Linked DNA regions of Oryzias latipes. Each later gene encodes a partner of the first gene's protein in a complex. Links are inferred from orthologs where the notes say so. Each region holds a gene or a part of one and is shown on either strand. Other genes may lie near its edges. The genes, in order: disp1 and shh.

The links.
Region 2: the proteins of disp1 (region 1) and shh are in contact, whole or in part, in a cryo-EM structure (PDB 7E2I), measured with the Homo sapiens proteins. The link is inferred for Oryzias latipes from reciprocal best matches to the Homo sapiens genes DISP1 and SHH. Residues at the interface, in NP_001356523.1 of Homo sapiens: Lys242, Thr244, Gly245, Tyr246, Lys247, Ala248, Glu260, His265, Arg299, Phe336, Gly337, Asp338, Leu339, Cys340, Gln341, Arg342, Thr343, Glu459, Arg899, His904, Asp906; in NP_000184.1 of Homo sapiens: Pro49, Asn50, Val51, Thr55, Leu56, Gly57, Ala58, Arg68, Glu71, Phe73, Lys74, Leu76, Thr77, Pro78, Tyr80, Pro82, Arg96, Leu97, Gln100, Lys186.

The regions. Positions count from the first base shown.
Region 1 is NC_019882.2:13,642,954-13,647,464, forward strand, and holds the start of disp1 (protein dispatched homolog 1), read right to left. Parts: upstream 3,058-4,511; 5' UTR 2,867-3,057; coding exon 2,861-2,866; intron 2,855-2,860; exon of another isoform or gene 2,618-2,854; intron 2,605-2,617; exon of another isoform or gene 2,408-2,604; intron 1-2,407. UniProt on the Homo sapiens protein: Functions in hedgehog (Hh) signaling. Regulates the release and extracellular accumulation of cholesterol-modified hedgehog proteins and is hence required for effective production of the Hh signal. Synergizes with SCUBE2 to cause an increase in SHH secretion.
Region 2 is NC_019878.2:19,522,044-19,526,612, forward strand, and holds the start of shh (sonic hedgehog protein), read right to left. Parts: upstream 2,815-4,569; 5' UTR 2,476-2,814; coding exon 2,176-2,475; intron 1-2,175.

The DNA.
Region 1 (4,511 bases):
GCAATGCTTTATGCCGGATGCCCTTCCTGACTCAACCCTCTCAATTTAGCCAGGCTTGGGACCGGCACAGAAGCAGAGAAGGGAATAGGGAGCAGCCCGGATTTGAACCCTGGTGTCACGGACGGAAGGCGCCGCAAACCAGCACGAGCTAAACTGGCTCCCCTTCTAAAATCGGCATAATGATATAAAAAGACCACTGGTACGTTTTTACAACAGGTGAAAATATGATCGGAGTGGGAATTTAAAAAACGTAAACCGTTAAAAAGGTGCTGAATTTTTCCCCAAGTAGTTTTAAAAATGTATATCAAATAACTACTTTTTAAAGCAAATGACAACTTCCAATATTTTAAACTAACTTTTCAAACTAAAAGCACTCAACAAAAGGTCTATACTTTTAATCCTTGAGGTATCAGACTAGCAGGGAAAAATAACTGCACAGTCCTTTGTTAAAATGTAATTTTTTTTATCAAAAAATGCTTCTCCTATGCGAGGGTCAGTGTGAAGACACTGAAAGAAGAAAATGTGTTATCTGTGATGGCATCACGCAAACTGGAAGTTGATGACATGGAAACGGACTCAGATGCTGCAGACTTTACTGCCGGTAACTTTAGTGCTCTGGTATGTGTCAATATCGAATAAAATATGACCCGTTTGTGTTCTGTCGTAAAGCCAAGCAGCCACTTAAGAAAGATTCAAGATTTAAGTCCAGCTTATACAAATGTATGTGGAGCTTAAGGGATTTTGTTTAAGTTTAATGATTCCAATAAAACACGGTCATCTAATGAAACTGTCAAAGGCAGCTGTGCACAAATATGGGGTTTTATTTTAAACTAACAGTCAAAAATGTCATTTTGTGAAACAGATGAGCCTTCAGTTCAGCTTTAAGCAATGTGTCACACTTGCTAGTTCCTTCATCCAAAGGAATCGGACTTGAGACATGCGACTTATTCAACCGATGTGACACCTGAACATGAGTGAGTGGCGAAATATGAGCCTGAGAGCCCGGTGGGGTCAGAGGTGGCAGAGAGGCCGGGGCTGGGGAAAATAAAATGCAGGGAGGAGAGGAGGAGGAGGAGGAGGAACTCCAGAGCCTGAAGAGTTCAGAATAGCAGAGCGCCCAGATGAAGTCATAAGTCTGGGGTTCACAAAAAGCTGTCAAAAAAACCCTGTAATGACTCAAAAGCACTCAAAGGAAGCAGGAGCATTTGAGGAGAAGAAAACTGAAAGCAGTTCTTGTGTAAAATGAAACGATTTTTCATGATGTTGGCATCCACTGGAATTCAGCCTCAGTTCTGTGTGCACCAATCCACACCATTGACATGGAGGTGATACTTCTGTGCGGACACAAGCTGGGCCTTGTGTCTTTTCTTCAAAATAAAAGCACAAAACTAGAACAGAATGGATTAAACAAGTGATTCAGAAGCAGAGAAAGTGATAGTTGAGCCCAGATACAGTAAACCAAACAGGATCTTAAATACTTTTAACAAAGTGTAGCAAGTAAATGAGGAAATAAAAAGCAGTGTTTTAGCTCTAAAAAACAAAGTTGGACCACTTCCTACCTAATCTTATCTTATCTTTAAAACTAATAAATATGACCAAACTGTTGTTTCTACCAGTTTTTAGGCAAAATTGTGTAGATTTTTAATATTACTTGTAGGAGAGGGAATTACCATGTACCAAGCCCCTAAAAGAAAAGCTATTTATTTTTAATTTACCATGTAAAAAAAACGGGGGTGAAAAAACAGACCAAAATACTCATAAGTGGTTTGAAGTAACACAGGTTATGACGAAGAGCTCCTTTTGCTGTCTTTCAAGTCGGCTTTCTGATTATGGGGTGTGAGAGATGAGGAGAGACCTTTGGGCGACAGCGCAAGGCGAGGCATCTGCACCCCTTTAATCAGAGCTAATAGGCAGCAATTACCAGGAATCTGTCAAGAGACGCTTCATGACAACACTGCCTGGAATAATGAAATCAACAGCAGGGAGTAACCTTACAGATGTGCACATGCTCGGCATGGCTGCAGGACACATGCAGTCCTGGCTGACAAGTTTCTGGTTGTCAGGAGAGATTTTGGACATGTATGAGCACCCCCCCCCTCAAGGGAATTCACTCACTCACAGCTGGGTGGTTAAACATGCCAAGTAAATATGGGTGCTTCAGGCTAGTGCTTACTGACCAGTAAGGGGGGAAAAATTAAGTACTTTTGAGTGTTTTTTTTTTAACTAAAAGTACTACCAAAAATAATCTAGAGAAAGCATGATAGGACGGGTAAAGCTGCTGCTTTGTCTATTTTGGATTATTTTACAGTATATTATCTGTTCAATACACTTTTTTAAGGATAAGTTAAAAAAACTTCTGTAACCAAAACAATAATAATATTTCCAATAAGAAAATAATTCACTCTACCTTCTAAAAATAAAACTCCTGGGAGAATAATGAGTCTTTGCCAAACAAGACGCACGAAGTCAAGATGGATACTTTAAGTTAACTTAAATTTTCCAAACCTTGCTGCTGAAAACCACCAGACTTTCTGCTATAAAACCTGACAAAAGTTTTAAGAAAACGAACAGATAGCAAACAGCAAAGTGAAGGACGTCAATATCAACGTTGTCCAACCGTGTTTGTTGTGTCTCCCGGCACTCTGCGCTCGTTACGCCAGGGGGAATCGGCAGCATGCGACGGGTTGCAACATCAATGAAACAATGTAAAACAAAAATGTTTTTTTTTTTTTTTTGTATCCGAAAGCACCTTTAAAAAAACCTATCAACCCCTCCCAGCAAAGAAAATAAAAGAGGCTGCTACAAGTTTCTCTTGTGCGTCCTGTTCGAATGTCTAACCACCTCACACGCTCTCACTTACAAACATACTGAAGGATCTGCGCGCCGCTCTCTCCAGAGAGACGCTGGTGGGTTGGGACTGCGCCGGGCAGCACTGATAGGACGGTCACACTGCCTGCTTCAACCCCCTCAATGCCGCACGCAAGAATTTTACGCGCAGCCTGCGAATATCCGTGCGCATTGTGTGCGTAATTTCGCCGCCAAGCTTTTAAAGTAATAAAGAAAAAAAAGCAATGAAATTTCCTTAAAGGGAAGCTATATTTTTATTATTATTATTTTGACCCCCCCCCACTTTTCAATATTATTTAAAAAAAGTAAATTCATATATTTGAGTTTTTGCCCCCAACTTTCATCAACTTTTAAGTTCAAAAGCAAAAACTTTGCTCTTTTAAGAAGTAATAATGGGTACTTTGCTTTCTTTTCATTCGACTCTTGGGAAAGAATGTGCTATTTTAAATCTCTACTCTAGAATCTTTTACAATAACTTTGCAAAAAAGCTAAGCTTTAATCAAAGCAAGCTTTGATTAAAGTTTGCTTTAATGTGTAGTGTAGTCATGAGAAGCCTCAGAATTGCATATTTTTTACTTTTATTCCATTAAAAAGCATTAATTTGTTTAATATTTCAAACAATGCATTTTTCTCCTGATGAAGGACATATATGAAAGAATTTAAGATTAAAAATGCATTTCTGAGTATTTCCTTATTCAAATCACGATAGATCAAGAGCAGATAAAAAACCTGCCCTTTAAAAAGGTTGTGACGCAACACCTGAAATTGGCGGGCCACAAGCTCCCAGCACCGCTCGATTCTGATGCATCCACTTAAAACAAATAGACCCATGTACGTCTTCACTTTCCTCGTCTGAGGACTGCATGCCTAGATAGCTAGAGTGGTTGCCAGAGAAACATTGATTCGGACCGACTGGGACCAATTGCTGCTTACTGATGTCGTCCGGCTCCATATATAGCGACATCCGTACCGCAAAAATAAAAAAAAGGCAACTGAATTGACTTCATCTGGTCAGAGCTGGAAGTAAGTCATTTTTCTATGAGCGATGTCACACTCACCTGGTCCATTTTTCTTGTACAGTCAGTGGGGCTGATGGAGCACGGAACTTTGACCAACTCAGTGTTTTTGGAACATTGTTGGGTTGCACAAAGGGGACTCCAGTCAACGGGCCCATCCAACTTCATTCTTCATTTGCACTTCATTTTGACTTTCATTTGTTCCTACAATCACATCTTTTATTCAGTCAAATGAATTTTTTTGTTCACATTTGGGAATGACTTCCTGTCATGGACACACTCAGCTGCAGTCAGAGTCTTAGAGCAGAAAGCACAGCGTCTTAAACACAGGATGATGTTTCTGTTGGAACCATACTGACCAATTTGGCTCCATTATGCGGCCCATAAGTGATCCCATTTACATAGAAATTACATAAAAATAAAATTTTTAGAATCAAAAACTGGCTTTTCTCCATGTTTAGAACAAATGGTCATAATTGTAAATGCTGTATACGTATGTGGTGCTGTTCTAACTTCATTGAGGCCTAAAGTGCTTTACCCTCAAAAGTCCCCATACACACACATTTAAACACTAATGGTGCTAGTGCGAAGTCGGGGTTCAGTGTCTTGCCTTGCTTCGGCACAGGCAAAGTGGAACCATCCTGAAAC
Region 2 (4,569 bases), on another chromosome or scaffold:
TGAGGGCTGTTTCACTCGCAAAATGCACTAAAACAACTAGAAAACAAGTTTTGCGCACTTTTAACATGGAACAAAGCGGTGCAAAGCTTTATCCTTTTATTAATTCATCAGGTCGTGTGCCACGAATCAAGCCAAATTCTACTCAGCCACCATGAAGCCCAGCGGGGCGCTTTGGACCGCTGGGCTCCTCGTAAAGTTGTTCAACAGCCTGCCCACTTAATCTTCTCACAAATGATTGGGTTAAAGGAAACACTTGTCAGCTACCTGTCAGTGCAAACAAACTCCCATCTCATCTCTACCTTTACAGAATGGATAAACACGAAAGAAACTTTTATGAGCCATTTAATCTCCTGTAAAGCGTGAAGACCGAAAAACAGCAAAAGATAATTCCGTAATTCAAAAATCAAAAATAGTGGACAAATTAAAAAATAAAGAAGTGCAGTTCTCTAAAAGAAACAACGAAAAACGATGCCCACAATGATCAGATCAGATTGTGGAAGACATGTAGAGAAAATAAATAAAAACTATCTGAAAACTTGTGTAAAGCAAACCAAATCTGCTGATAACTTTCCTGGGGGCGAGCTGCTCCTCCTTCAAAAACACAGTCCTGGCCAGACTTCAGTGAGCTGACTCATTAATTTATTTACTGCACACATCTAACCGAGCTCCTGAAGGCACGTGCCTTACTTCATGTACAACACCTGTTTTCTGAAACACCAGATAAGGAGAGGAGCCGGTCTTTCTGCGTGCGTAAAATCCCGCGCGTAAAAATCAAGTGGCACAAAGCCCAAAACAAAGCAAAAACGTTGCGACAGCTTAAATCTCCATGTGATTATGCTTATGTCATTCACTACTGCGTTCCCCTCTGTTTGGATTTGCATGGTTGAATTTGATATTGCTCTGCTGTGAAATGCACGATGACGCAGGAATAACCTAGTTTAACTTGCGCCGACCCCCGACTGACCAAAAGTTCAAAGTTTATATTGAGTTCCTTTTACACGCACAAAGAGTTGTTGAATGAGGACTGGCTAGTGAGGCGCCAGCCACAAACGACTCAGCAATAAACAGACTTAAACGTGCATTTTAGCCACTCATCCACGTGGACGCGCCCTGCCAGTGCAGCAGGTGGAACATTTTCCAAAGAGTCTTCAGATTGAAGCAGGTGCTTCTATATATGTTTCTGTTCTTCTAATATTCGAAATCACCTCCCGGGCCAGTGATTTCCTCCCCACGAGTGAGACCCTCGAGGCGTCTCACACAGAGGATGAGGGGAGCGCAGGGTGGGGGCACGCGGAGAACGGACGCACGGTGAATATTTTATCAGGCTCATGCGCATGCATGGTTCAGAGCTTCATCACAACCTGCGACGCCATCATCACCACCGGCATTTCATTCTTACTGAGTCAATATCACCCAAGCGGCGTGAATAATTCACCAGGATGGGAGTGCTAAAAAGTCACACTGGAGCGACGCGGCATCCTGCAGAAACCACTGCATCTTTCCACTGTATCGCGTCTTCCTCTCTGCGCTGATTTGATCACCAACGCGCTGCATCAGGAGGGAGCAGAGAAACACATGCCATCCTGATCCAGTCCTGAAGTCTTGATGAAGCTAAAGAAACTGTGCACAAATCCAGCGCAGCCAAACAGCAGTTGGTTGAGGATAATTGTGCGAATGAGCTGCGCCATGTGTTTTGAAGCGGCGCGCAAACCCGACGTTCATGGCTGTTATTACAAGAAAAGGCGCATAAATGAGCCGCAGCATCCAAACAAGCCCTGTATGTAAGTTAGTATGAATACGCGCGTGTAGAGCAACAAATCAGGCTTCATAGAGATACAAATATAGATGTGAATATAGATGTGAGGAGAGGGGCGCATTAATATTTTATATACACTGTCACAACCATGCAGGCCGAGTGTCCTGACTGTTCTCCTGCACATCACTTCTCTGGATTTCAATGCTCGCTTCAAGCCCGCAGCGTTTCCAAACTCCCATGCTGGTGCATAAAGTGCATCTGCTCTCACAGTGAAGTTAAAAGGCTCAGTGTGAAGAGTTCAGCGGCAGGAACAACACACTTCACTTAAGGTGCGCAATCCAGACCGACAAGGAGGTTGTTGCAGTGCGCCGGGATGGTGCGTTAGGAGAAGAGGGGAGGAAATGGTTCTGTCTCCTTACCTGAGTCATTAGCCTGTCGGCTCCGGTGTTCTCCTCATCCTTGAATATGATGTCTGTGTTATAATTGGGAGTCAGCTCTTTAAATCGCTCGGAGTTTCTTGTGATTTTGCCTTCGTATCTGCCGCTTGCCCCGAGGGTCTTTTCCGCCACGTTGGGGATGAACTGCTTGTACGCAAGAGGTGTCAGCTTCTTCGGGTGTCTTCTTCTGCCGTAGCCCCTTCCCGGTCCGCAGCCCATCCCAGAAGACACTAAGGACAAGCAGAAGAGGCCGACCAAAACAAATTTGGCCCAGAGTAGCATTTTCTGTCCACCCTCCTGTCCTTTAAAGATCTCAAACGAGTCACCGGTGCTGGTCTCAGCCGCGCGTCTGTCAGGGCTCTCGCTCCGTCCTTGTCTCGCCTGGTCTCTACCGCGGCAGGTGCGGAAATGAACGCCTCAGACTAACGCTAATAACGGGGCACATCGAAAGAGGGGTTGGAAGAAAAAAAGTAGTAAGGGAATTATAAGCCACGGGATCTCTAGTCGAGCTGCAGCGTGTGTGAGCCGACCGCCTTTAATGCTTTGTATTATAGCACCGATCTATATAGCAGGGGAGGGACTAGACAAACCCTCCTGATGTTGTCCTGCACACACACGCGCGCGCGCACACACACACACATTAAAAAAAAATCTTAAAAGATTTTTCCCACCTGGGGGTTAGCCTCCGCTGCGGGGAGGAGGGGCTCCTCCATGGGAAAACATCAATTATAAACCGTCTTTTTTCACCCTCCCTCCCGTTTTCCAGCTTTCACGAAACACACACACACACACACACACACACGCAGAGGAAGCGCAGACAACTTGCACAATGCTGTGCTCAAATCTGAAGCGGCGCTCTCTTGGATGAAGTGACTTCAACGCGTGCGCTTGCGCGCGCCTGTGCGCATTTATGGCCGAGTGTGCTCCCGGCGCGCGCATGCACACACCTGGATTTGCAGTGAAAAACAAAAATAAATCAATAAATGCATTCAGTGTAAAAAATAAAAAGGAGCAAAGATTGGCATTTGTTCTAACCGACGTCCTGGCATGCAGAGGGCTTTAAAGCACAGAGATAATTAACCCATAACAGGATTTTCTTTCTATCAGGTGATCTAAATTCTAAGAAAAGTGAGCAAAGTGACTTCCAGAGTGACACTGTTGTCTGTGGTAAATATATAACATAAAACGTTCCATAAAAAGAAAGATGTAAAAGCTTTTTACTCCATATTATTCAAATAAAACTAATTAGGAATGCCATCTGTAATGTCACATTCAGATGATAAGTAATGTAAGGAAAATAAAATATAATTGACCCAAAGACAGAAATAAAAAAATATTAATGAGCAAATCTAGCTCTTTAAATCTCAGTTTGGCTATTCTCCAGCATGGTGCACCTCTCATGGTGCCATGCTGGAACAACCAGTGAAGGTGAGACCATACTTGCTGCACAATTACCAAATTTTGATTAAAACAAACTGCTTCCAGCATCACTTTCTCAGTTGTCAAAGAAATTCTAAACATTTTCTCATCAGAAATATTTCTGCAGCTGCTTTTGCAGAGGTGCTATTCAAACACAGCAGTGCTGGGAGTTTACAGTTCCCTGAGGGACACCGCGTGGTACTATTTGGCTCCGGGTCAGAGTGTTGGTTCAGGTGTCGCAGCTCTGAGATCAATCCTGATGTGACACACAAACTCCTTAAAGCCACCGAGCTGAAAGGAGGAGGTGGTGAGAGTCCTCATGTGAATGATCCATGGGCAAAGTGTTGTAATAACAAAAGCAACAACAGGGAAAATATTAGAGACTGAACTGTATTGCTTCTAAGTGACAAAATGTGATGTGGAATGACATGAATAATACAGAAAATGCAATGAATAATGCAGCTCCGAGAGCTCGTAGTGCTGATGGGTTTGAACTTGAGTTTCCCCCACAGAGGAACCGACTCTCAGTCAGACCTGAGGTGCAGAGTATTTACAAAAATGTAAAAATGTCCAAGCAGTTTTCGGGTTTGACCTGGGAATCAGACAGTGAAGGTATGTGCAAGCTCAAAAGTAAGAATTTATGTATTTTTTTATGTCAGAAGAACAAAATTCTCATGAATTTGTGCATCCACAGAGTTTTCATATCATGATAAAGTCTGTATGTAATAGGGAGTGAATTTCACAATTCGTATTCAGAAGCCTGTTGCATGTGACTACTAATCCAGCACAAGGCGTGAAAACGGGCAGCCATTCACCAGCTTCCGCCTCTTTCTGTGTCCCATCAAACAAAGCAGCCCCTAAAACCCACAGACCTGCATTCCCATCCACTCTGACACATCTTCACATTGAGCCATATTTCTGAAAAGCTTCCCATATTAGTCAGACATTCAAAAGAAT